7 linked regions of the Oryctolagus cuniculus genome follow. The protein of the gene in region 2 interacts with the protein of the main gene of each other region in a pairwise test. Links are inferred from orthologs where the notes say so. Each region holds a gene or a part of one and is shown on either strand. Other genes may lie near its edges.

Region 1 (4,168 bases), on a different chromosome or scaffold from region 2:
TCCCATGCGGGTGCAGGGGCCCAAGAACTTGGGCCATTCTCCACTGCCCTCCCAGGCCACAGCAGAGAGTTGGACTGGAAGAGGAGCAACCGGGTGCCCATATGGGATGCCAGCGCCACAGGCAGAGGATTAACAAAGTGAGCCACGGAGCCGGCCCCAACCACCTGATTTCAATAGCTCCCCATAGACCTATGTTCTAGCAATGTGCATTTTTGCAGCAAGTCAGCTACAATACTGGCCAGATTGCTTTTATTGTATCATTGCATAGGATGACAAGAAGGAAAATAAGAATAGGCACTTTTATGAGCTAACAGTTGGACACAACCTGCAGCTGGAGGCAGAGTCAGGTTTGTGCAATCTTAGGGTTTATATAGTGGTGGTGTGTGTGTGTAAGGGTAGAAAGAGCATCCTATCTGTTTAAAAACAACCCAAACTTACAATTGCAAACTCAGGTGTGACCCTGCAAACACAGTGCTAGGGCCCCTCCCAGGGGCTCTGAAGAAGCCTGGAGCTTAAGAGTCATCAGCCTCCCCGGCAATCCGCCTCTGCTGAGAGAGACAACAGACCAGAGGTTCCACCACAGCATGCAAACCTCCAGAAAATCGCTCAACATAACAGTCCTCTATTACATCAATCCCCGAGATGCTATTCTTATCTCCCTTTCACAAACCACCATCCCTGCTGTTCCCTCTAATTCAGCAGCAGCAATTCATTATAAAAGTGCATGTGCAGAACGGGGCTTGTGCATCCTCCCCCGATTCGGGCTTTACCAGCCTAGTTCCCAGTCAATTATGTAACAGCCCAAACAGGGAGTTTAAGAGAGAACCAAAAGCACAGTCGTAGCTCTTATATAAGCCTTCATAAACCACCCACGAGAGCTGTTCTCCGATGTGGATCCTGGGAGTTACATAAGGCAGAAAGAAGCACTGATTCAGCAGTCAGGTTGATTTCAGACCTGAAATATCATAAAAAGCTTTCTGCATGGAATTTACTCATCTATATCAACATAAGTTTTTGATTTGAGGGGGAGAAGCCTGAATGAGAATAACCCTTAATAAGATGTGGTTCCTTTCTCACATAAACATAAAAGCATAATTTGTGTAGTAACTCAACTTTCACTTCCACCTCTGCACGAGCCAGGGTACCACTTAGCACCCAGCTCAGCACAGGAGGCAGAGCGATGGGTCCCTGATAGATATCAACCAGTCTCAGCAGGGACTGGAATTCCTGGAAAAATCTCCTATTGTCATTCTCTTCCGGTATTTCTAACCCCATGTATTTTTGACCTACCTTATTAAACCACCAGAGAATGGCTTAAGTTACAAAGCAGCAAACTCACAGAATGCTTTCCAATGGGTCCCATCTCTGGCTAGGGATCAGAATCACCACTAACAATGCAGACGCCAGGGTATCTCCCCAAACCAATTACAGCAGGTGTGGGGGGGTGCGGACTAAGGGGCCCTTAACACAGTACCTCTGATCCTTTTCTTCTTTCCTCTTCTCCTCACCCAAAAATAAATAAATAACCATGAATGCGCGTGGGTGGGGGTTCTGTTTCGTGTCTGGGACGCCTTTGATAACTGGCAACTCAACAATTACTAGGTTTCCATCAGAGATCAAAATAAAACCATTCAATAAGTGAAAGTCGTTAACGGATACCTGTGACCTCCCCAGACCCCCGTAAGTGGTCACACAGTGCTCACCGATGTCCAGCACAGAGCTGACAAAATCTGTTTTCTTAAACGCTTTGCAATTCTACCCAGTGAGGTTTCCGAGGTTTTTTTCCTGCGTGGCATCTGAAAAGCCCAGCGTTTACCGTGAAGCAAAGTTTTGGTCGACAGCAGAGATGAGCAGGTTCTGCCACCTCCACACTCTCTTAGCTGCTTTGCTATCCACTCGGAACTTCACCAATACGAGGCGATTTTTTTTAAAGCACTTATATAACAGAGTACAGGCGCCTCTGGTATGCTGCAAGAGTTCTTCCCGTGTTTGTATTTAAAATAGAACGGTAGTAACATCACTTGTATGCCTGCGATTCCTTCTGCTCAGAATGAGACAGGGGGGTGGGGGGAGACGTAGCGAGCCGCGTCCCTGCTCCCCCATTAGAACGCTGGAAGGAAATAACACATCCGTACTAAATTAAGACGAAGGCACAGACCAAATTATCCAAAGCCGAGGGTGGATGGGGAGGAATCGCTCCAACTACCCCAGCAGCGCCTCCGAAACGCAGCGCGCTGCACCTGGCGGAGATGCCGAGGGAGCCGCGGAGCAGGTGAGGCAGGCGGGCGGGAGGGAACGGCGCTGGGACGCTGGAGAGGCCGAGAGAGTGGCGCAGCCCGCAGCCGGCTCCGCGCGCGCACCTGTCTCCCAGCCGCCCGGAGCCACCCGCCGCGCCCTGCGCAGGGCGGGAATCGCTCACCTGGGTCGGATAGAGCCCGGAACCAAGTCCGAAAGCCCACCGCTGTCCCTCCGGGACACTGCCATCCCGACCACCCCGTTTCCAACACGCGTCCTTCTCCTCTTTCTCCCTCGCCCCAGCTGGAGTTTCCGATTTACTGACAGGTCTGGACTCCGCCGACCGGCCACGGATTGCCGCAAAAGACAGCCGGCAAACTTGCCGGGAGAGGCGGCGCCCCCGCACCCGCAGGCGCCCCAGCCGCCCCCGCCCGCCCCCGCCGGCTCCGCGTCCCCGCACTCACCTCGCCGCAGGCACCACCCGGGCCGCCGCTCCCGCTCCGAGCGCAGCCGGGCGGCGGGCGGCGGGCGGCTGAGGAACCCCGCGCCGCCCGCACGACGCCCGGGCGCTCCCCGCCTCAGCGGCCGCTCCTCCGGCCGCCTCGCCCGGACAAAGAGAAGCTGCGGGGCCTCCGAGCGCGCAGCGCAGCCCGCGAGCCTCGCCCGCGAGGTGCCGGCGCGGTGACAGCGGCCGGGCGCGAGAGGCCCGCGCTGGAGGGGTGGCACGGGGCGGCAGAGGCGCGCACCCCCTCCCGGCCGCCCGGAGACGCACACGCCGAGCCCCGGGCGCCTCCTCCCGGCCCGCGCCCCTCGCCCGGAGCCGCCGGCCGCAGCCCCGCCGCCGGGGAGCCGCAGCGCCCTCTGCCGGCCGCCCCGCGCTTACGCGCGCGCGAGGGCGTCCGGCTCCAGCTCTGGCCAGCGGGGAGGGGGCGCGGGGAGACGCCCCCAGGGGAGGAAGTGAGACCAAGTTGATGAGGATTTGCCATGATGAAGATGAACGGATGGTGTTGGTCCTGGCTCCGTTTAGCTTGGTTTACAGTCTTTTAGGGAGTGGCTATTTTAAAACTTGAAGCAATATTTTATACTAGTTCAATCTTTTTTTAACAAACTGTACTGCTTGGTCAAGGGAAACCATGAAATAGCACCTTTTTTTTTCTCCACACCACTGCCTTTTTTTAAACGGTTCTATCTGATCTCCCTTCTCGGGAAGAATCTAGGGCAGATTTGATAGCTTTTCCTGGCACTTTTGGGTGTTAATAAACAGTCTGATTCGCTGGTATTAAAAAAATGCAATCCAATCCAAATTGAAACTGTAATTTCATTCCTCTTAAAGCCTTCCCCACTCCCCTCCTGCCACCCCCTCCCCAGCATCATTCAAGATGAAATTATAGAAGCCTACAGTTATGTGTGTGTGTGTGTGTGTGTGTGTATATATATATATATAAAGTTAATAAACACCCCAGATGCATCACTTCCTAATTACTACATGGGGAATACAGTTTGAGTTTATTTACAATTAGCACATCTGAAGGATGGAATAGTACAGGAGGCTGTATCAGTAGTCCTTAAAAAGCTCATGGAGGGGACCAGCCCCATGGCATAGCAAGTAAAGCTGCCGCCTGCGGTGCTGGTATCCCATATGAGTGCCAGTTTGAGACACGGCTGCTCCTCTTCCAGTCCAGCTCTCTGCTATGGCCTGGTAAAGCAGTGGAAGATGGCCTAAGTCCTTGGGCCCCTGTACCCGCATGGGAGACCTGGAAGAACCTCCTGGATCCTGGCTTTGGATAAGCTCAGCTCTGGCCATTGTGGCCATTTGGGGAGTGAACCAGAAGATGGAAGACATCTCTCTCTCTCTCTCTCTCTCTCTCTCTCTCTCTCTCTCTCCTCTGCCTCTCTGTAATTCTGCTTTTCAAATAAATAAATCCTTTTTTGA
Region 2 (3,939 bases):
CGGCGGCAATTGGAGGGTGAACCAACGGCAAAGGAAGACCTTTCTCTCTGTCTCTCTCTCTGTCCATTCTGCCTGTCAAAAAAAAAAAAGAAAAAGAAAAAGAAATGGTGAGGTTTATGTAGATTTTTTTGTCATAAAAAATGGAGGGGCTAGCACTATGGTGTGGCAGGTAAAGCTGCCACCTGCAGTGCTGGCATCCCATATGGGCTCTGGTTTGAGTCCCAGCTGCTCCACTTCTGATCCAGCTCTCTGCTGTGGCCTGGGAAAGCAGTACAAGATGGCCCAAGTCCTTGGGCCCCTGCACCTGTGTGGGAGACTCAGAAGAAGCTCCTAGCTCCTACCTTCAGATCGGCACAGTTCCGGCCGTTGCTGCCACCAGAGGAGTGAACCAGCAGATGGAAGACCTCTCTCTCTGCCTCTGCCTCTCTATAATTCTGCCTCTCAAACAAAGAAATAAATCTTTGAATTAAAAAAAAAAAAAAAAGGAAAAGGTACAGAAAAGCTGGTTAGCCAAACTGGAAAGCAAATTATGTTTCAACATTATACCCCACATAGAAATAGATTCCATTTGAAAAGCGAAACTTTTTAAAACTCTTAGAAGAAAATACAGGAATACACAATTCATACTCTGAGGCAGAGAAAGGTTTCTTAAACTAGACCCACACACTCAAAAGACAAGCCATTTAAAGGAAATCCTCCATGAATATCACATTAAAACTTAAAACGCCTGGAAAGGGAAAGCCAAGCAGGATGCATCGGCCAAAGGTTCCAATCCAAAGCAGCCTAAGTGTTCCTGGTGAAAGAAGGGCACAGACTGACTTCACACTACACAGAGCAGCGAGAAATCAACGGGCCACAGTCCGGAGCAGCAGCCTGGTAAACCTCCATCCACTGCCATCTGAAATGTGGACCCCTGCGACCCAGCATTTCTCTTTCATTCACAGCCACAACGGTCACTGACGCAAAAACGATTAATAAATTGCACTTCTGTGCAAGACCCGAAGGCAAGCGGGAAGACACGAGGCCATGGAGACACTCAGAAGACCCCTAACACTCCACCATGGGAAAGTCTCAAAAACATGCTCTCAGTGGAAAACAAGTCGCAAAACGACGGGAGCACCAGGATGTCATTAGGGCAGGGGAGAGAGCGCATGTTCTCTGTAGTGCCCGTGTGTGCGTGAAAACGCAGAGAAAGATCTGGAAGAACCACACCAGACAGTGGGCTCTGTGGAGAAAGGACTCGCCGGGGGCCTCCTATTCCGCCTGTGCAGGTGTGCGTCCCAGCCACAGCACCCCACGCGCGGCACACACTGCGGGGGCTGCCTGCACGGGAACCGCAGCCCGAAGCCTGGCAGCACGCAGCTGGCACAAGCAGACGCCGAGGCTCCGCGCTTGTGTAATCAGAAGTAAGGGAAAAGGGGGAGGGAGGGGCTGCAGAGCCGCAGGAGGCAACTCTCCGGGGAGCTGGAAATTTCCATACCTTGCCCGGGACAGCGGCTACAAAGTGCCTATGGTTTTCCAAATATCCAAGTGTACACGAAGAATGCGCCTTTTATCATATATATGCAAACTGTACATCGGCAAAGTTAATTTTAAAATAAATGCATCCATAAGATAAGATACAGTCAGGAAAGTCTGGAAGAAGGTGCCCAGAATTGCAGAAATGAGGCGCCCCAAAACAAGAACTCGCCGACACCTGCCGGCTGCCCCTTAAGTTCAAAGGCCCTCCAGGAAAAAGAGGGAGCCCTCTGCAAGGCTGACCACCCTATTTTTTATATAAGGAAACAAGCAAAGACGCAAATTAAAAGGCAAGTTGAAATTCTATTGGTTCGAAGTCTCATTTCCCACCGTGAGCAGAAATCCTGTGCGCGGCACAGCAGACACCAAGAGCCGAGCCCCCGCCGGCACGACCCCCTCCCGGGCAACTCCGCTCTGCAACCCGGGAGCCCAAAGACCAGGCTGGAGGTGACGGGTCCAAACCGCGGCCGAGGGCGGGACCGCAGGGACCCCCACCCCCCAGCCGAGGTCCCAGGACCAGGGCGAGTCCCCAGCACGCGCCAGCCCGCGCCGCCGCCGGGGACGCGCCCGGGCCCACACCGAGCGCTCGGGGGACGCCCCCTGCCCCCGGCCCCCGGCCCGACCCAGCGCCCGGGGCTGCCTCGGCGGACAGAGTCGGGGGCGGCCGCGGGTCTGCGCTCGCGTCGGGAAGCAGGGGAACTTCCTTTCTCTTCCCAAGTCTGCCGGACCCGCTCCTGCCCTCGACGCGGGACCCTCGGGATGCCCCCGCAGCCCCGCCGCGCGCCGCCCGGCCCTTCCCGCCGCACTCCGCAAGCCGCCGCGCGCGCGGCTCCGACCAGTCCGGACCCGGGGCGCGGGGCGCCCGCCGCTTTGTGTCGCGCCCGCAGCCCCCGCGCAGGCCCGGGCCGGCAGGTTCTCGCCGAGGCGCCTCAGGGAGCAGGGCGTGCGGGAAGCGGCGAGGAAGCCTCCCTCCGCCCGGGCCTGCCCGCCTCACCTGCCTCGCCCGGCACCCGCCTCAGCGCCCCTCCCCGGCCGGGCCGCCGCAGCCGCCGCGGGCTCCCCACCTGGCTCGAAGCTGGGGGCGTCGGCGAGGGCCCGCGCGGCCGCAGCCTCCTCCGCGTCTCCTGCCCGGCCCCCCTCGCCTGAGACTGCGGCAGCGGCGGCGGCGGCGGCTGCTGTTCAGGCCCCGGAGCCGCCCCCGCGGCGGACGTCCTCCGCGCCGGCCCGCGCCGCCTCCTGCCCGGCACGCGCAGCGAGCCCGCCCCCGGCGCGAGGGCGAGGGCGAGGGCGAGGGCGAGGGCGCGAGGCGCAGGGGCGGGCGCGCGCCGCCGGGGAGCGCGCGGGCGGAGGCGGGGCTTCCGCCGCGCGGGCGGGCGGGGGCGGGGCGAGTTCCCGCCCCCGCCCCGCCCCGTCCGGAACCGAGCGGCGAGCGCGCGCGAGCACTGGAGCGGGGCTGGTTGGGGGCCGCGGCTCGGAGCTGGCTGCTGCGCACGGGCATCCTAGGCGTCGCAGCTCTGTGGAGCAGGGGGCGGGAGAGGGCGTGTGGTGTGAGGGTCTCCGCTGCCGCCCTGAGCTCGCCTGGCGCCCGCCCCTCCCTCTGCAGCCGCGAAGGGACCGGCCACCCGCAACTAAGGGACGCGAGCGCAAACGCCGGGTTCATAAAGAACTGTGGGAGTTTTTTCTTTTTTTTAAGATGCATTTATTTGAAAGTTGCAGAGAGCAAGAGAGAGTCTTCCACCCGCTGGTTCACTCCCCAGATGGTCGCAAGGGGCTGGGGCTGGGCCAGGCAGGAGCCAGGAGCTTCTTCCAGGTCTCCCACGCTTGTGCAGGGGCCCAAGGACTTGGGTCATCCTCCACTGCTTTCCCAAGCCACAGCAGAGAGCTGGATGGGAAGTGGAGCAGCCGGGACTCAGGCTGAGGCTGTACCCGCGGTGCCATCACACCAGCCCGTTTGTTCGTTTTTACTGAGCACTCACAGTGTGGTAGGCGTTGAAAGGGTGAAACATTGGCTCCCTCCTTTGGAGAAAAAAAAATGTGTAAATCACGAAAAATAAATATGTAAATGCAGCTTGGTGTGTTTGCTCATTCACTGAAACCAAGGTAATTCAGTAAGTGAGCTAGCCTGAAGGTCCCTCTGGGCTGGCCGGTGGATGGGAGTGCCTGCTCCAAGTCTTAGCTCCCTCTCCTACACCTCCCCCCTGACGTGCACCCTGGGCAGCAGTACCAGGGCCCGAGTCCGTGGGTCCGCGCCACTCAAGTGGGAATCAGGAGAGGGCGTTCCTGGGTTGGGGCTGGCCTGGCTGTTACAGGATTTGGGGAGTGAACCAGGAAACAGAAGGTGCCCTCCATCGCTGCCTTTCAAATTAAAAAGAAATTTAAAATAAATCAAAATGTTTTTTAAAAGCAGATGGTTTAAGAGAA
Region 3 (4,072 bases), on a different chromosome or scaffold from region 2:
GGCAAACACGGGCTGGGTGCGCTGAGCCGCTGACCCTCAGGAGAGCTGCAAATCAGTGATCCAGACCCTGGTTCGGAGAACCGGGCACCCCTGCACCCCTGCAGAATCGCAGACCTAAGTGGTGGTTTTTTTTTTTTTTTTTTTTTTTTTTGTACAATTTTAACATGGCAAAGAGCTGGGGCAGAGATGCAGATTCGGGTTCGTGTGTGGTCCCTGGTCACCCAGTGCTTGTTCTAGGTGGTCTGACCCATGGAGATTCGAGGGATCACCTGGAGGGTTCGGGTGCGGCTCCTGGCTGCACACCAGCACCCAGAGGCCAGTGGGGCCGCAGCCGCTGCCCTATCGTTTTGGTTTATGAAGACCTTGCGCTCTCTGCGCCCGACCGTGCAGGGGGCGGGCACGCGTGCGTTCCTGAACGCTGGGACCCGCCACTTTTGCGTGGGATGTGGCACGCGGCAGGCGCTTTTTTAGGCGCTTGCGGAAAGGGTGACTGGTCACGCACGACTCGCAGGAGGGCTTCCCCTGCCCGGTTCCGCACCTGCTGGGCTCTCAAAGGCCCGGCCCCCGAGGGCAGCTCGGAGGTGCCTCCCACGGCGCAGGTCCTGCATCCCGGAGCTGTCCAGGGACAGGAGCGGCCGGTGGCTGAACCAGCCGTGCCTGCGAAGCCTGCACGTCCCCGCACGGCGCCCGTGAGCCTCGAAATCCGACGCTGCTGGTCTTGGCCGCCCCAGGTGCGGCATGTAGCGTCGGAACGTGGGTCTGGCGGGGCCGCCGCGTCCCGCCCGCCCTGTAAGGATCCGCCCGGGGCCGCTCCGGGACCGACGCGGCGGGGTCCGGGCCCGGCTGTCAGCGGGCGTCGGAGGTCGCGGTTCGCTCTCACGCAAGGTGGCGAGTAGCAGCGCCAGCCCCGGGAGCGGAGCGCCGACGTGACGTCCGGGGAGCTCTGGCTCGGGACCTGGCACACCGCCGGCGCGGGGGCAAAGGCCTCCCGCGCTCGCACGGCTGCGGGAGACTCGGGGGCAGCACGCAGGCGGAAGCTACAGCGGCCACCTGGCTCCGCGGCTCCCACCTGTGGCTCCGCCCGGGGACCCGTGTGGGCGGGGCGGGGCGGGGCGGAGCCTCCGCAACGCCCAGCCAATCGGCGCCCTAGCGGCCCCGCCCACTGCCTCCCGAGGCCGCGGCGCCTGCGCACTCGCGGCCGCGGCGCCCCGGGGCCCCTCCCCCGGGGCGGTGCTGACGCTCGCGCCGACGCGCCGGACGTCGGGCACGTTGACGCCGGCGACGCGCAGCCGGGCCCGCTCCTCCTGCGCTCCGCCAGTGTCCGGCCGCTGGCCGGCCTTCGTGACGGGCGGCGGGCCGCGGGGCCGCGGCGTGGGGCGGGCGGGCGCGAGCTGCCCGCGGCTGCCTTCGTCGGCCCCTGAGCTCGCCCGCAGCGAGCCGCCGCGGAGCCTCGTCGCCCGCTGCCGCCGGCCAGCAAGGTGAGGAGCGGGGGGCTGAGGCGGGCGCGGGGCCCGGGGCGCCCGGCGCCGGCCGGGCCGTCCCCGCGGACGGAGTGTCACCTGGGGGGCCGGGACGCCGCGGGGGCGCGGCTGGGGGCGCGGCCCTCGGCGGGGAGCCCCCACCCAGCTCGGCGCCCCGCTGCTCCCCGGGGGGCTCAGCCCTGGGGGCCGCGCGCTGACCGCGGCGCCGTGGTGACCCCAGCGCCGGGGGCAGGGGCGAGGACCTGTGGCCACGGCGGGCGGGCCTTGTCCCAGGGGCTCCGAGCACCCCCGGGTGCTGGGGCTTGTGCGGCACCTGACGCGGGAGGGGACGGAGGTGCGAGCGGTTGGCGGTGGCCGGCGCCCGCCAGGTGCGCGGCGCTGGGCTGCTGGCTCTCGGGGGTCGCGGTGCCCCGGCAGCCTCCGGAGCGGTGCCCGGCCTTTCCGCCGGAGACACCTAATAGCCTCTGGTCAGCTCGCCTTTCACTTTTCCTGGCTTCCTCGCTGGCCGTCCCGCGTGGAATTTCCACCCCCGCCTCCCCCAGGTTTATTTTTTTTGGGCTGTAAACTGACGTAAGCGAGGTTGACTGACCAACCACGGCAGCCGCGGAGAAACACCTCTGCCCGCCCTCCCCGGACCCGGTTCCCAGGTGCAGCCCGGCATTCGCGAGCCGACCGCACGCGTTCCCGTGCGATGCCCCCTCTCTGCCCTTCCTGCCCCGGCCCCGAGCCGGGCGGCAGGAAAGTCAGGTACCAGAAGCACGCGGAGAGAGCGGAGCCTTGCGGGCACAGCACCCCGCGGGCCGCTCTGGGTCCGCTCTGGGTCCTCGCTGGTCGCGGCCCCGGGCGTCTCTGCCGACCCCCTGCAAGCAGGCAGGACTGGGAGTGGGGACAGCCGGGTGCAGGTGTGTGCCCCGGATGACCGGGCTGCTGCCTGTCTTGCAGATGATGTGTGAGGTGATGCCGACCATCAGTGAGGCAGAAGGCCCCCCGGGAGGCAGCGGGAGCCATGGGGCCGGCTCCCCGGCCCAGCCCGACGCCGACTCGCACTTCGAGCAGCTGATGGTGTCCATGCTGGAAGAGAGGGACCGTCTTCTGGACACGCTGAGAGAGACCCAGGAGACGCTGGCGCTGACGCAGGGCAAGCTGCACGAGGTCGGCCACGAGAGGGACTCTCTGCAGAGGCAGCTCAACACCGCGCTGCCGCAGGTGAGGGCGCCCTGCGGCGCGGCTCCGGGCCGCTGTGGCCATGGCGCGGCGCGGCTCCGGGCCGCTGTGGCCATGGCGTGGCGCGGCGCGGCTCCGGGCCGCTGTGGCCATGGCGTGGCGCGGCGCGGCTCCGGGCCGCTGTGGCCATGGCGCGGCGCGGCTCCGGGCGGCTGTGGCCGCGGCTGCTGACGGTTGTGCTTGCCGCAGCGTTGCTCGGGGCCAGCTCCTCGGGACAGCAGCCGCGCCCTGCCTTTCCGCGCTCGGGCCTGGCGTGGCCAGCGCCCTCCGTCCTCCCGTCTCGCTCGGGCCTGGTGTGGACAGTGCCCTCCGTCCTCCCGTCTCCGGGTCTGACGTGGACAGCGCCCTCTGTCCTCGGGCCTGGGTGTGGGCAGCCCTCTCCGTCCTCCCATGTTGCTCGGGCCTGGCGTGGGCAGCCCTCTCCGTCTGCCGTCTCTGGGCTTTCCATGCAGAGTGTGAATTTCCTGCGGATTCTGTCCCACCGACCTGCAGTTCCCCTGAGGCGTCTGGTAGACAGACAGCTGGGCTTTGCCCTGGACTGGACAGCTGTGTTTTGTGGGTCAGGTTTGTTTCAGGAGCTGGGAGACTGGAGGTTGACCCCAGGGGAACTTGAAACAGCTGAGGCTGTTTGACCTCTCAGGGCGTGTCCTGCGGAGCTGAGTGGGGTTCAGTGGTAGGGGAAGGAGACGAGGGCGGGTGGGCCGCCCAGAGCACAGTGGGGATGCGTGGTTGCTGGGGGTCCGCGAGCTGTCTGCATGCCGCGTTCCTTATCCATAGAGGTGCCTTCGCGGTGGCTCCAGGGCGCTCTGACGAGTGAGCAGGTGCAGGACTGCTGCCCCGGTGCCCTTCTCGGCCGTCCTCGGCCGTCCTGAACACGACGAGCAGACATTCAGAGTTCCTTTTTAGCCATCGCAACTCGATGTTAGTGGTTTGTTGTGCGTTAGAGAATTCATTAAGATTTTTCTCTTTCAAGTCTTATAAACTACCAACTTTGTTTAGGTCAGATTTTAATGCCAAAAACGTCAAAGAATTGGCCGGCCCGTGTTGTGCGGGATTTTACTGTACGTGCTTGTAGGTCTTTTCCGCAGTTTCGTGTTTTGGTCATGGATACGGCACCCACGACAGTGCGTCCGACACGCGGGTGTTTGATGAGGTAGTTACCGGGTGGGGGCACGCAGGAGAGCAGGCCGGTGGCAGTGTGTGGCACACGGAGCCTCCGCGGGCGGCGGCGCCCGGGATCTTTCTGGAGAGGCCTGGTTGGCTGAAGGTGACGCCGCCGGTTCACGTCAGCGCCTGATTGCAGCACCGCCGAAAGCAGCCAGGGGACTTGTTTTGTTCCTTCTCTCTTCCTGGAATCTGGCTGGGCT
Region 4 (3,547 bases), on a different chromosome or scaffold from region 2:
TACTGGGAGCCAGACCAGCGCTCTGATGGGTGCTGGCCTTGCAGGCAGCGACTCAACGTGCGGTGCCACAGCAGCCGCCCCACACGTGCAGCTTTTTGATGATGTTGGATGCAAATCTAATATAATCCTTCATGTGAAACGATTTTTTGAGATGTATTTATTTTAAAGGCAGTGTTACAGAAAGAGAAGGAGGGAGGGAGGGAGGGAGGGAGGGAGGGAGAGAGAGAGAGAGATCTTCCATTCACTGGTTCATTCCCCAAATGGCCACAACAGCCAGGGCTGGGCCAGATGGAAGCCAAGCGCTTCTTGAGGGTTTCCCACGTGGGTGCAGGGGCTCCAAGCTCTTAGGCCAGCTTCTACCACTTTCCCAGGCCCATTATCAGGGAGCTGGATTGGAAGTGGAGCAGCTAGGACTTGAACTGGGGCCTGTATGGGACCCTGGCTCTTCAGGTGGCAGTTTAACCAGCTGTACCACAGTGCAGGCCCTGGAACTTTATAGAAATTTATTTACTTGAAAAGCAGAGAGACAGAAACAGATGGATGGCCGGCGCCGTGGCTCAATAGGCTAATCCTCCACCTTGCGGCGCCGGCACACCGGGTTCTAGTCCCGGTTGGGGCGCCGGATTCTGTCCCGGTTGCCCCCCTTCCAGGCCAGCTCTCTGCTATGGCCAGGGAGTGCAGTGGAGGATGGCCCAGGTGCTTGGGCCCTGCACCCCATGGGAGACCAGGAAAAGCACTTGTCTCCTGGCTCCTGCCAGGATCAGCGCGGTGCGCCGGCTGCAGCGGCGGCCATTGGAGGGTGAACCAACGGCAAAGGAAGACCTTTCTCTCTGTCTCTCTCTCTCACTGTCCACTCTGCCTGTAAAAAAAAAAAAAAAAAAAAAAAAAAAAAAAAAAGAAACAGATGGAGATCTTGCGTTTGCTGGTTCACTCCCCAAATGCCCACCACAGCCAGGGCTGGACTAGGCCTTCGTCCGGATCTCCATGTGGGTGGCAGGAAGCCTAGTACTGGAGCCATCACCTCCTGCCTCCCAGTGTGTGCATTAGCAGGGAGCTGGAATACGGCACAGAACCAGTCGCTGACTCCTGCCTGGATTCAACAGGGGCGGTGAACATCCCAATTAGCTTCTCAGCACTGTGCCTGGAGTACCTGCGACCCACATCAGAGAGCCAGTGGGCTGCGGTGTGGGGCAGGATGGGTGTGAGCTAAGGCAGGCCCCTTGCACGCTCAGGATGAGATGCCCCCAAGCCTAGACGAGCAAGGAAGGCAGGGAGAGTGGTGGAGCCCTTTCTTTCAACAGCTCGCGGTTGATTCTGATGCCCGAGTCAGTGGGCAGGACTTAAAGAGGCTTCCATTGTGACAAAAGGTGACGGAAGCTGGGGCCAGGCCACAATGGTGCCATGACAGAATAAAGACTCGGTTGCTAGGGTCAGGGAATAAAGAGGGGCAGGCTGGTGGAGGGGAGGTGGGGCCCTAGCGCTCAGCCCCCAGCTCCCCGACCCTCCCCGTCCCCTTAACCATCTGCGATGTCACCTTCCACCTGGACACCACCCCTCCAGGTCCAGGCTTGACTCTGGTCTCCACGCACTGCACAGGGGCCGCCACCCTCCCCTTCCTGGGATCTCCAAGGATTCTGCTCTCCCCCAGCGCCCATGGCCAGCACAGATGGCGCCGCTCAGAAGCCCATCCCCTCCCCACCCCTGAAACCCACCCCTCGTCCTCACCCGGAGTCTTCAGACTCCAACGTCACCGTGGCCTTGATCGAAATCGGCTCCCTGCCCGCCTTCAGCTGGGGGCCGAAGGTCACAGATGAGCAGGACACGCCGAGGTTTGAAAGGCTCCTGAAGGAAATTAAAGACGTCCTCAAAGGGGTGGTGAGCTGTGAAGACAAGATCACCGAAGCCGAGGAAAGCAGGATTTCCAAGGATGTGTCAGAACTTAAAGAAAAAATCCGAGGACTTGACAAGATGAATAAAATACTGCTGAGAAGCCTGCTTGTCACCCTGAACCCAGAGAAGGGGCAGAAGGCAGTGAGAGCAGGGCTGGCGCTGGAAGCCCAGAGCTCGGACGGCCCTGCACGGCCCGGGCGAGACGCGGCAGCCCGCCCGGAGGAGCAGAGGGCCCCGGGCAAGACGGCAGAGCCTGCGCCCCAGGCTCCGGGGGAAGCTGCCAGGCTCCGGCGCGGCTTGGAGCAGCTTCTCCAGGAGGCCGAGCACTGGAGCCGGCAGCAGACGGAGCTCAGCGAGCTGATCAGATCCTGCCAGGTGGCTCAGAAGGACCCGAGGGACACTCTGGACAACAGTGGCGGCGATGTCCAACGCCAGGCAAGCGGGGCCGTGGCAGCCAAGCGTGAGCTGGAGGAACAAGCCAGGAAGCTCGGCCGCGACACCTACGCCTTGCACGTGGTCGCAGCTCTGCTGGAAAACGAATGCCAAATCCTACAGCAGAGAGTGGAGATTCTGCGGGAGTTCCACCACCGCCAGCAGGGGACCCTGCCGGAGAGGCCTGTTCCCATCATCCCCCAGCACCGGCAGAAGAATCAGAAGGCGTGGGAGGCGGAGAAAGTTGTGCCCTCTGAGCAGGGGACGTTTCAGAAGAAAGCCAGAGCCTACAGAAGCCTGGACGTGTGTCTCAGTAAGAAAGCACGGAACAACCGCTTCAACAGGCGTATTGCAAGGGCTCTTACGGGAAAAAAGAGGCCAATCAGTAGCCCAAGGTAGAAAATAGGAAGACACAAGAAAAGGTGACTCCTTGAAAATCCACATCCGCTATGTCCAGCTTCAGGCATAATCAGTCATCCACCTAGGATGGATGGCTCGACCGAGAGGCTTGTAGAACAAGACACACACGTGTCTGATCCAGGACCCCAGTACCAACGCAACGGAATGGGACCACTGTGTCAACACCAAGTTCATGACTTTTCGCCTGGACCGTCTGCTTGGGTTTTATGGTTATAAGATCGAGATCCTATAACTCTTTACCCGAAAGTGAAAAGTTAAAGGCCCAATTAAGTGAAGCTGTAAATAAAACCAGACTGCAAAAGACAGCGATTTTTTTCTTTAATCATTTTCTGGGGGGAGGGAAGTTTGGGCGGCAGGGGGTGGGGGGAGGGTGTATTTAATGCTGTAATTGTGATTTTTATTTTATTTCAAAGTCAGAATTACAGAGAGAAAGGGAGAGACAAAATGGTTCTTTTACCCATTGGTACACCCCCTAGATGTTTGCAACGCACAGGGCTGGGCTAGGCCAAACCCAGGAGCCAGGAGCTTTATCTGGGTCTCCCAAATGGGTGGCAGGGGTCCCAACACTTGGGCCATCGTCAGCTGCTTTTCCCAGGCGATTAACAGGGAGCGAGATCAGAAGTGGGGAAGCCAGGACTCAAACTGGCACCCATATGGGATGCCAGCATCACAGGCGGCAGCTTTACCGGCTACACCACAATGCCAGCTCGAATCGTGATGCTTTAAAACTACCTTTCTCAATATATGTTTCCTTTTCCTAGTACTCACTGAAGTGGGCAAGGCAATGCAGTAAGATACCGGCAAG
Region 5 (2,420 bases), on a different chromosome or scaffold from region 2:
GGCGCAGGGTGGTGTGGCTAAGCTCACGGGGGGGCAGGGTGGTGTGGCTAAGCTCACGGGGGCGCAGGGTGGTGTGGCTAAGCTCACGGGGGCGCAGGGTGGTGTGGCTAAGCTCACGGGGGGGCAGGGTGGTGTGGCTCAGCCTGCGGGGGGGCAGGGTGGTGTGGCTCAGCTCACGGGGGCGCAGGGTGGTGTGGCTCAGCCCGCGGGGGGGGGGCAGGGTGGTGTGGCTAAGCTCACAGGGGGGCAGGGTGGTGTGGCTCAGCCCACGGGGGCGCAGGGTGGTGTGGCTCAGCCCACGGGGGTGCAGGGTGGTGTGGCTCAGCCCACGGGGGTGCAGGGTGGTGTGGCTAAGCTCACGGGGGCGCAGGGTGGTGTGGCTCAGCCCACGGGGGTGCAGGGTGGTGTGGCTCAGCCCACGGGGGGGCAGGGTGGTGTGGCTCAGCCCACGGGGGGGCAGGGTGGTGTGGCTAAGCCCACGGGGGGGCAGGGTGGTGTGGCTAAGCTCACAGGGGGGGGCAGGGTGGTGTGGCTAAGCTCACGGGGGGGCAGGCTGGTGTGGCTCAGCCCACGGGGGTCTTGGGGTCTGGGGTCCTGGAGGTTGGTGCCAAGGGGGCAGAGGAAGGGGAGCGTGGGTCCCTGGCCAGCTGGCCGTGGGCGGAGCGTGGCCACGTCACCACGAATGCTGGTGGCCTGGTGGCTCATGGGGTCTGCGGGCGGGACCCCAGGCCTGGGGGCTCCTGGGCGGGTGGGAAGGGAAGATCCAGCCACAGGCACATGCAACAGAGATTTCCAGAGACCAACGTAAACCCTTGCATTCCTACTGTTTGCATCTGTTTTCCGCTCAGGAGGCTGAGCCAGTCCCCGCCAGGACCTGGGGGTCACTCACCTGCCCCAGCCCCTGCCCAGCCACGCAGCCAGCTCTGTGGCCAGGACACGCTGAGAAAGGGGCACACGTGGCGGGCCCGAGATACGCCCGGCACTGGAGGGCTCTGGCAGGCTGGGGCCAGGGAGACCAGGCCCCCGTTCCACCACCGTGCCCTGTCCCCCCGTAACGGGTTCCCACCTCTGCAGGGCCCACGGGCCCCCGCGTGGGGCGGCTGCAGCCCTGCCTACCCCCAGCAGCTCCAGGTCAGGGTAAGGCCCGTTCTGCAGGCGAGAGCGTGAAGCAGCCGGGGCGGACGGAGCCCCCGCCAGCCCGCGGCCCCGCCAGCCCGCGGCCCCGCCGGAGGGCCCCTCGGTGCGGGCGGGCCGCGCCCAACGCCGTCTCTTGTCTTTTAGGAGCTCTATAGGAAGGACTGCAATCTAGCGGCCCAGCTGCTGCAGTGCAGCCAGACCTACGGCGGGGTCCATAAGGTGTCCGAGGTAACGTGGGCCCCGCCCCGCAGCCAGGCCCCGCCCCCGCCCCACCCGCGGCCGTCCCTGCCCTTGAGGAGGAAGCTGCTGGGTGAGCCTGGGCCCCTCAGCCCCTCCTGGACCCGCCTGCCACACGGCCCAGAGGCCGGGCTGCCCGGTGCCCCCCTTTTCCAGGGGCTGAGCCCAGGCTCCGCCCCCCGTCCTCCAGGGTACACCTCACAGCAGCCCACGATCGGCAGTGTCCGACTCAGAGACAGGAAAGCTGCCTTCAGCAAGGGGGCTTTGGCCACGGCCGTGGGGTGAACAGGCAGCAGAGGCAGGGCTCCGACCAGGCAGAGCCCCCCACCCGCGTGTGGCAGCCTACACAGGCCCTAGACGCCCACCCCTACAGGCAGGCTCCCTCCTGGGCCTCATCTGCATCCCCCGCCCTGGGCCTCGGCCACACCTAAGACACGCACAAAATAGATCAAACAGTAGTGGGACGGCCCCCCTCCCCGCACCGTGGCCAGGCCCTGGTGCGGAGGCCGTGGGGCGCCTGGCCCTGGCCCGTCGATCTTTGTTGCATGTGTTTCTGAGTCTGTCTCGTTCCGGGCACCCGGGCAGTGTGCCTGGGGCCGGGGCGCCAGCAGAGCCCACAGGCCTGGGGGAGGAGCCGAGCGCCCGTGGGGCAGGCCGGCGGGCAGGCTTCCGGCTCGTCTGGCCCGTGGCAGCCTCTGGGCTCTGCTGGGCCCCGCTGGCGTGGGGCGGGGTGGGTGGAAGTGTCCGGCGGGCCCCCGCAAGGGCTGCCACTGTGTGAAGTGAGAAGCCCGGGCGGGTCCCGTCCGTCCGTCTGTCCGTCTGTCGTGTGGGTCACGTCCGTCACCGTGGTCCTCGGCCGCGCGCTGACTGCGACTCCTGCTCGCGCCCGTTCCAGCTGCCCTCGGACTTCCAGGAGCGCGTGAGCCTGCACCTGGAGAAACACGGCTGCAGCCTGCCCGCCCCGCTCTGCCACCCGGCCTACGCCGACAGCGTCCCCACCTGCGTCATCGCCAAGGTGCTGGAGAAGCCCGACCCCGCCGCCCTCT
Region 6 (3,500 bases), on a different chromosome or scaffold from region 2:
GTCTCCCTGTGGATGGCAGAGACCCAAATACTTGGGCCATCTTCCACTGCTTACCCAGGTCATTAGCAGGGAGCTGGGTTGGAAGTGGAGCAGCCAGGACACAAACCAGCCTGTATGGGGTGCTTGCATATCAGGTGGCGGTGTAACCTGCTGTGCCACAGAGTTCTGGGCCAGCATTACGGGGCAGCGTGGTTAAGCAGCTGCTTGTGACACTGGCAACCCATACCAGAGCGTTGGTTCAAGCCCCAGATGCTCTGCTTCTAATCTAGCTTCCCGCAAAGGCACCTGGGCAGGCAGTAGATGATGATCCAAGTACTCGGGCCCCTGCCACCCACGTGGGAGACCCAGATATAGTTCTGGGCTCCTGGTTTCAGCTAGTCCCAGTCCTGGCTGTTATAATCATTTAAGGAGTGAACCGACAGATGGACAATCTCTCTGTGTGTCTCTCCCTCTCTTTATCACTCTGCTTTTCAAACCTATAAATAAATAAATCTTTAAAAACATAAATTTCTGGGGCCGGTGCCATGGCTCACTTGGTTAATCCTCCGCCTGTGGTGCCGACATCCCATATGGGTGCCAGGTTCTAGTCCTGGCTGCTCCTCTTCCAGTCCAGCTCTCTGCTGTGGCCCGGGAGGGCATTGGAGGATGGCCCAAGTGCTTGGGCCCTGCACCCTCATGGGAGACCAGGAGGAAGCACCTGGCTCCTGGCTTCGGATTGGAGCAGCGCGCCAGCCGTAGCGGCCATTTGGGGGTGCACCAACGGAAGGAAGACCTTTCTTTCTGTCTCTCTCACTATCTAACTCTGCCTGTCAAAACAAATAAACAAAAAAAAACCCATAAAGTTCTGAACTGGTCTGAACGCCGGGAGCTCTGCGGTGCCACCCAGGGTCCCTCATCTCCTGTACTCAAGCCCCTCGGCCTCCAGCATCCCGGGCCCCACAGCTGCCCTCCGGAGTGCCCCAGCTCCCCTCGCCAGCCCACGCGCCCCTTCACCAGCCAACTCGTGCTAAGCAAACATCAGCTGCTTCTTACTGCGCCTCTCACGAAGCAAAAGGCTGTTCTCACACTCCTACGACCTGCCTATGTCCTTTGTTTTCTGCCGGGGCCGTGGCCTTCTCTGTTGATTCCTGGGCACACACTGTATCTCAGGGTGTTGGTCTCCTCCTGGGATGTGCGCTGGAAGTGCGCTTCCCTGGTTTCTCACTCACTCTAACTCTGCGTCACTCCTGGCACCAACACCACAAACTCAATTATCAACATCTGCTTTCATGGCTTCCAGATTTTTTAGAAAATATAGTTATTTTTACTTTATTTTTATTTCTTTGAGAGGCAGAGAGAGAGAGAGCGAGCGAGAGCGAGCAAGTGAGCCAGAGCTACCATCTGCTACTTCACTCCCCAAATGCCCACAACAGCTGGGGGATCAAAGCCAGTAGCCGGAGACTCGATCCAAGTCCCCCACCGGAGGGGCTGGAAGCAGCCACTTGAGCCATCGTCACCTGCTGCCTCCCATCTGCATGAGCAAGAAGCTGAAGTCAGGGGTCCGAGGGCGAGGCAGCCAGGCACCCGGGTATGGGGCACAGCGTCCTCACGGACAACTCGACCCCCGCACCAGTTGCCTGCAGCTCGAGTCACGCACAGGCAGGGGGGCTCTACCCACTCCACGGCTGTAAGGGAACCCACCAACTTCTCTTCCAGTGCCTCTGTGGTTTCATTCGTGACATCTGTGGCTCATCACGGTGGCCCGCCCTCACCCCTAGACTAAGTCAGGGCTCCCCTCCAAGGCACTTCTTCCATCTGTAATTAATAAATAATGACCACATTGAATGTGGACCCTGCGTGTCCCCCACTTGGCCGTAGGTTCCATCCACGAGGGCCAGGACTCAGATTTGCTCACTAGGATGGTGATGACCAAGCACTGAGAAATGACTGAGTAACCCTCCTCACTGTCCCCCCCCCCAATGCTCCCACGTGAACTGGGCACCTGCAGTTAAGGAAGGAGGTGGGTTACTTGCTTCCGAAGAGGAAGGGGGGCTTCCTGCACTGGGCGGGGGGGTGTCATCTGAGTCCCGGGGGAGACACCCAAGTTTTCTTTCCACGCCACCCGTGTCTTTCTCCAGCACCCAAGACCTCACTGTTCATGGTTCATGGAGGTCTCTTTGACATCTGCCCTCTGCCAGGGAGCTACTGCGACCCTGCTGTGAGACCGAACCCTTCCCGCCCCAGGATTCACCTGTTCTTGGTGCAGCCTCTGAACCTCCTCCAGTTCCCGCTGGCTTCCCTCTTCCAGGTTCTTCCGGACGACCTCAGCCCCGGCCAAGGCGGCCCGCAGGCCCTCGGCCTCAGCCCGGCCGGCCTTCTCTGCCCGAGCCAGCGCCTCCAGCTCCATGGCCTGGGCTTCCAGCCTCATCTTCTGCTGCAGCGAGGTCTCCCGCAACGTCCGCACCTCCTCCTCCAGCCGCCGCAGATCCTGCAGCTGCCGAGAGATGAGCTCGGCCTGCTGGCTCAGGGCCTGCGACCCTGCCAGTTCCAGGGACCTTCAAAGATAAGTTGGCGCAGGTGAGATGCGTCCCTGGTGCTGGGAGGGTAGCGAGGGCACACACAGAGACAGGAGGAGGAAGAGGACCAATCTGCTCCTGCGAGGGAAGAGGGGGATGAGGCTTGGGGCATCGAGCTCTCCAGGTTCCCATCATCATTGACAGTCATCCCGGCCCTGCGAAGCACAAAAGGTTCAGCCTGGGCTCATGGGACCTAAACGCCAGTGAGAGGTATCGCAGGCAGGAGTATTCACCAGCAAGTGTGCATAGCATGAGGTCACTCGCTCTGCACAGAGGCTGGAAAACACACACAGAGACTGCTGAATTCTGACCTGAGAAGGAAGAGTGGGAGACAAGCACAGGGGGAGAAAGATGGGAAGCTTCCAGTCCCGACAAGGCAAGGCCGCACTACAGGCATTGAGGGTCAGGTACGCTCTGCTGTTTGAGGGCCTGAGGGGTTAGCACATTAGTGAACAACACGGTCCAGATCTTTTCGTAATATGAGAACAGCTCAAGCAGTTCATGAAAAAAAAAGGGGGGGTATTAAAAGGTAAGTTCATTTTGTTGCAAAAAAGTTTGCATGGCCTACAGGAGTCACGAAAACTTAAACCAGCTTCCAGGGGGCTGGCGCATGGCTCACTTGGTTAATCCTCCGCCTGTGGCACCGGCATCCCATATGGGTGCTGGTTCTAGTCCCAGTTGCTCCTCTTCCAGTTCAGCTCTCTGATGTGACCCGGGAGGGCATGGAGAATGGCCCAAGTGCTTGGGCCCTGCACCCACATGGGAGACCAGGAGGAAGCACCTGGCTCCTGGCTTCGGATCAGCACAGCACTGGCCGTAGCAGCCATTTGGGGAGTGAACCAATGGAAGGAAGACCTTTCTCTCTGTCTCTCTCTGTGTCTATAACTCTACCTGTCAAATAAATTAAAAAAAAAAAAAGCTTCCAACAGGGCTCCTGAGGCAGCT
Region 7 (4,288 bases), on a different chromosome or scaffold from region 2:
TTCTCTGCCAGTAGTTCAAAACAGGAACTTGAGCAAGCTCCTTGACCAGTCATCTTTATAATGGAGCTCCTAAGACCTAACTGATTTCATTATTGTGATGAGTAAATGAGAGAAATAAATGACAAAAGCCACAGAAAATAGTGACAAGGTCTGTACAGGAGTTCACTGTATTTGGGTTAAATGTTTTCTTATATGCCTTTCTCTTTAAAACCTTAAGGAAGGTATATGTATTCCACACTATGCAGAAGTTATTACAGATGCCAAATAAATTCTGATTACTGAATAAGAATAAAAGATAGTTAAAATGTATCAGGCATTCAAAAGCTTTCTTTACCCAGGGCACATTTTTGGTATATTTGGAACTACAGTTATTTTTAGAAACATATGCTTCAGGGTTTCTCAAAGTTGATGAAGCATTAGAGTCACCTGTAAGACACAGAGTGTTGGCTCATACACCAACAGTTTCTGATTTTCCGGGACTTGGGTATACTTGCTTTCTTTAAAGTTCACATGTGATACAGAATAGCCTAGTTTGTGAACTCAAGAACTATACATATGCCTTGTCTAAACATGAGTTTATAGAAAACTCAAAGTACAAGATGTAAAAGAACTTATACTCTGGACAACATTGTCCGTGAAAGTTCAGGGAGATACTTATGCTAATGAGCAGATATGAATCCAAATCAGCCCCAAAACATTTTTTTTCATTTTGTTTTAAGAAACTTTTGCTTATATGCATATCTCTACACTAAGGAGAGAAAATGAGATGGCCCATGGAAATGGTGTTTTTAATCTATTTTTAATCATAGTGATTTACATAAAATTACCTACAATTAAAATTAGACTTCATGTTTTACTTTATATAGAATTTGACAGGCAAAATGGCAGTATTATAATGATGGCATCCTAAATATAAAATTTATAATTGACTATTAATATAAACATTATTGTCTGATTCAATGTGTCATTTTTATATTTATCCTTTATTTATTTCTGTGCCAAGCAATTGAAAGCTTGACATAGAAAAATGAGTCTGTCACTTTAACAAATGGTACTATAAAAACACTCAAACAAATAGTTTTAGTAGGGATTATTATGATAGCAACACGAATATTTTTCTAGAAAGTGTTACCAATGTTTCCTATAAATGTTGGGCTCAGTTGATAAATAAAAATAGTAAGGAAGAAGATGAAGTCTTCCTTTGGCAGTGAATGATTTACAAACATGCTGGATGACACATTGTATTGGATACAGGCAAAAAAAAGGCTCTGTTGAGAAGCATTAAGTGATCATTAGTTAAATGCGTAAGAGAATGATGTTTTAATAATTTGCACCAAAGAAATTTAACAAGGAGTCATTTGTTAGTAAAGAATTCTTATCATAACCACAATTAAAATGCAGCATTTTAAAAGCGGTTTTGTTCCCTTCTAAGTGCTCTTTATTTTAGCAGAAAACTTGTTCCATGAGACTAACACACATTCTGCCTTCAGAACTTAGCTGCTACATTCTGCTGTTGCTTCTCTTATTCAGACTGTTGCAATCATCCATATACAACTTTTGATTGGATCCTGATGGTAAAAATTAACTTTGGTAGACAGTGGATACATAATGAATGCATAGATCATTCTGGGCATACCGTTGTATTCAGTAGAGTGAAGTTTTGGGGGTTCTTGGAGGGGAGAAAGAAAATCATTTAAAAGTTCATTCTGGATCAGAATTTTCAGCTCTGTTGTTTTAGAAATTTATGTAATGTTCTAGAAAATATTGTTATGGTTTGTTACTGAAGGCTTTTTGTCTTCAGAAGGCTTTGAGAGCAAGTACTTTATCCACTGTGCTATTCTGGTTGGATACTGATCACAACACAGTTGAGCATTATTTGAATTCACTGGGCTTTCCATGCTGGGAGCACAACCTTATATGTAGTGTCCATGGGCAGTCCTATTATGGGAAACCAACTTGAGAGAAAAGGCGGGTCACTTGCTTGTGCGCAGGTCCTGGAATGTGAAATATCCAAGGGCCTCTACAGAATCCTGGCATCAGTTACTGCGTTGACTCACTCAGTGTTGGGATCACTCACTTTCTCCTTACAGACTCAGAACTTGGAGGCAATTGCCTTCAGAGAAAAACAAATAGGAAAAACTGAAGTGTTATTTTTTTTGAAAGCTGCTGAAGTTTATTGGCTTCTCGTCATTCCTAAGCCTACTGGAGCAATAAAGTTTGAAGAAATTTTTACCAAGATTTTTATCACAGCCTTGATATATACTTTTTTTCCAAATGCTTTGGTGGGAAGAAGTAGAGGACTGTTGTAAGTACAAAGTAACTAAAAATATCTCTTACTGTGGTGTAACTTTTTGTTTGTGATAATCTCAATGATTAAGCAGGTTGATTTTAAATTATGGCAGCTGCTCGTGAATAATCTTAAATGTTCTATATACTGTATATATATGTATATATACTAAGGTGTATGTACTTCCCATTGGGAAAACTTTCAATAAGAAATGAGGTATATTTGGGTTTTTTTCAATATAGGCAAAAACATCTTTCTTCTTTAAGAAATCACTAGATTAACAGAAAATGTATAACAGGTCTGGAGTATTAGTACAGAGCAGTTGATTTCTGTGAAATAGTTTCTATATATATGAGTTATTATTTTGATTATTTAATACTTGTGTATTTAGTGGTGGTTCCATGTAGAGTAGTGACCTGACATATATTCTCAGTGAATTAACTGCTTTGTTGGAATGATATACAGGCCTAAAGATTAGAATAATGTTATGTGGCATACCTTGGTGGGGGGACAAAGAACAAAATTGCGTTGTGATGGATAAATGACAGATGCGAAAATATTGATAAAGGTTTAATTTCCTTTCTCACATTATATTTAGTGTTTTGAATTCTTTTTTATAGCATGAGAGATTTTTTTTTTTTTCAAATAAGTATGTGATCTACACTGGCAAATGACCAGTCTCTTGATGAGAAAACAACATAAAAACTTGAGGGATGTCTCATCATATTTTGTAGAAAACTGATCGTGTTGTTTCATGACTGTTGTGACCAACTAATTCAGTAAATATTTTTATTAACTTCTTAAAAAAAGAAACTATTTTGTTTATGTTTAAGAAAGTCATGATGACTAATGAAGAATTTAAAAATTAACTATGGCACAACAGTAAAAATGATATATAAGGACACTGTGTCCCAAAGAGGTGGTTGAAGGAGATTATCTTTTTCTTTTCCTGCCTTGACATGTGAATTATGGTCATTCTGAAATAGATATGAAGGTAATGTCTATAATTAACAATGAAAGATTAAATCTCTCCAAATAAGTAATAATATATCACAACTTCTACAAAAAGAGTCAGAAGTTTTGCCACAGAAAATTTGTGAAGTAAATAAGCACCATTCATTTCTTAATTCACATTAGATGGTACTAGATTTCATTAATATGACTTTTTTCATATTGTGTCCTTCAAAAATTTCTGTGGTGAGCATCAGCATCACTTCCTGATTGAAAAACTATTCCATCTAGTAGCATTACAAAAATACACATAGCTACACATGTATACAAATGCATATTTCCCTTGCTATTTCTAGTTCTTTCATATCATTAATCTATCAATATTGTCAAACTTATGATTGATTATCTATAGCTAATAAAATTAAAATACACCAATACATAGAGATATTTGGAAAGTATCACAAATATGCAATTCTGGAATGAAGTAAGATAAATCTATACTCTTCTTTGTCATAGATATTCAAATAACTTTTTAATACATTAGAATTTGAAAAGTTGACCTTAAAAAAAATGCTCCAAAAGGAGCATTTTAAAAACAGCAAGTAATACCTTTGCAACCTGACAATGAGTTTAAGAGAAAATAGAAATATTATCAGGGTTATATTATACATTAATTTTTCTATTTGACAACATGCTATTATTTGAGTGTTTAAACATTTGAATCCACGTTGTAAAATTGCCTTAGTATGAAAAACTTAAAAGAGCACATTTGATTGCTTTTTGACCAAAGTAATGGCCCTTTAAGAATATCACTGTAGTAATACACATATTGTTTGCTTTTAGAATTACTCAAATAATCCATTGGAAACAACTGCTCAAATAATTAATTGCAAATAGACATTTCATTTGAATTTTTAAATGATGCAAAGCATCATGAGATGTAATAAAATCACCTTTTAAAATTTCATTTGCAAAGCCCTCTTAGGGCATTTAACTATGAAAAAGAGGTTGCTGAACTGAATTGATAACATAGTTTTTAAGATAATAATC

Evidence for each region.
Region 1: the proteins of DTNB (region 2) and MTUS2 interact in binary tests that used the Homo sapiens proteins (3 or more experiments, as listed by UniProt). The two-hybrid records come from large-scale screens. The link is inferred for Oryctolagus cuniculus from reciprocal best matches to the Homo sapiens genes DTNB and MTUS2.
Region 3: the proteins of DTNB (region 2) and PPFIA1 interact in binary tests that used the Homo sapiens proteins (3 or more experiments, as listed by UniProt). The link is inferred for Oryctolagus cuniculus from reciprocal best matches to the Homo sapiens genes DTNB and PPFIA1.
Region 4: the proteins of DTNB (region 2) and SPZ1 interact in binary tests that used the Homo sapiens proteins (3 or more experiments, as listed by UniProt). The two-hybrid records come from large-scale screens. The link is inferred for Oryctolagus cuniculus from reciprocal best matches to the Homo sapiens genes DTNB and SPZ1.
Region 5: the proteins of DTNB (region 2) and BEGAIN interact in binary tests that used the Homo sapiens proteins (3 or more experiments, as listed by UniProt). The two-hybrid records come from large-scale screens. The link is inferred for Oryctolagus cuniculus from reciprocal best matches to the Homo sapiens genes DTNB and BEGAIN.
Region 6: the proteins of DTNB (region 2) and CCHCR1 interact in binary tests that used the Homo sapiens proteins (3 or more experiments, as listed by UniProt). The link is inferred for Oryctolagus cuniculus from reciprocal best matches to the Homo sapiens genes DTNB and CCHCR1.
Region 7: the proteins of DTNB (region 2) and DMD interact in binary tests that used the Homo sapiens proteins (3 or more experiments, as listed by UniProt). The link is inferred for Oryctolagus cuniculus from reciprocal best matches to the Homo sapiens genes DTNB and DMD.

Annotation. Positions count from the first base shown.
Region 1 is NC_091440.1:85,729,382-85,733,549, forward strand, and holds the start of MTUS2 (microtubule-associated tumor suppressor candidate 2), read right to left. Parts: upstream 2,801-4,168; 5' UTR 2,700-2,800; intron 2,576-2,699; exon of another isoform or gene 2,420-2,575; intron 1,842-2,419; exon of another isoform or gene 1,704-1,841; intron 1-1,703. UniProt on the Homo sapiens protein: Binds microtubules. Together with MAPRE1 may target the microtubule depolymerase KIF2C to the plus-end of microtubules. May regulate the dynamics of microtubules at their growing distal tip.
Region 2 is NC_091433.1:177,085,334-177,089,272, reverse strand, and holds the start of DTNB (dystrobrevin beta), read right to left. Parts: upstream 2,801-3,939; 5' UTR 2,513-2,800; intron 1-2,512.
Region 3 is NC_091432.1:2,222,457-2,226,528, forward strand, and holds the start of PPFIA1 (liprin-alpha-1), read left to right. Parts: upstream 1-1,272; 5' UTR 1,273-1,478; intron 1,479-2,207; exon of another isoform or gene 2,208-2,228; intron 2,229-2,423; coding exon 2,424-2,687; intron 2,688-4,072. UniProt on the Homo sapiens protein: May regulate the disassembly of focal adhesions. May localize receptor-like tyrosine phosphatases type 2A at specific sites on the plasma membrane, possibly regulating their interaction with the extracellular environment and their association with substrates.
Region 4 is NC_091445.1:3,906,572-3,910,118, forward strand, and holds SPZ1 (spermatogenic leucine zipper protein 1), read left to right. Parts: upstream 1-1,441; 5' UTR 1,442-1,653; coding exon 1,654-2,721; 3' UTR 2,722-3,047; downstream 3,048-3,547. UniProt on the Homo sapiens protein: Transcription factor that binds to the DNA sequence 5'-CANNTG-3'(E box) and the G-box motif. May play an important role in the regulation of cell proliferation and differentiation during spermatogenesis.
Region 5 is NC_091451.1:44,178,888-44,181,307, reverse strand, and holds part of BEGAIN (brain-enriched guanylate kinase-associated protein), read left to right. Parts: intron 1-1,281; coding exon 1,282-1,365; intron 1,366-2,269; coding exon 2,270-2,420. UniProt on the Homo sapiens protein: May sustain the structure of the postsynaptic density (PSD).
Region 6 is NC_091436.1:139,340,023-139,343,522, reverse strand, and holds part of CCHCR1 (coiled-coil alpha-helical rod protein 1), read right to left. Parts: intron 2,535-3,500; coding exon 2,231-2,534; intron 1-2,230. UniProt on the Homo sapiens protein: May be a regulator of keratinocyte proliferation or differentiation.
Region 7 is NC_091453.1:19,808,245-19,812,532, reverse strand, and holds the start of DMD (dystrophin), read left to right. Parts: upstream 1-1,488; 5' UTR 1,489-2,274; coding exon 2,275-2,305; intron 2,306-4,288. UniProt on the Homo sapiens protein: Anchors the extracellular matrix to the cytoskeleton via F-actin. Ligand for dystroglycan.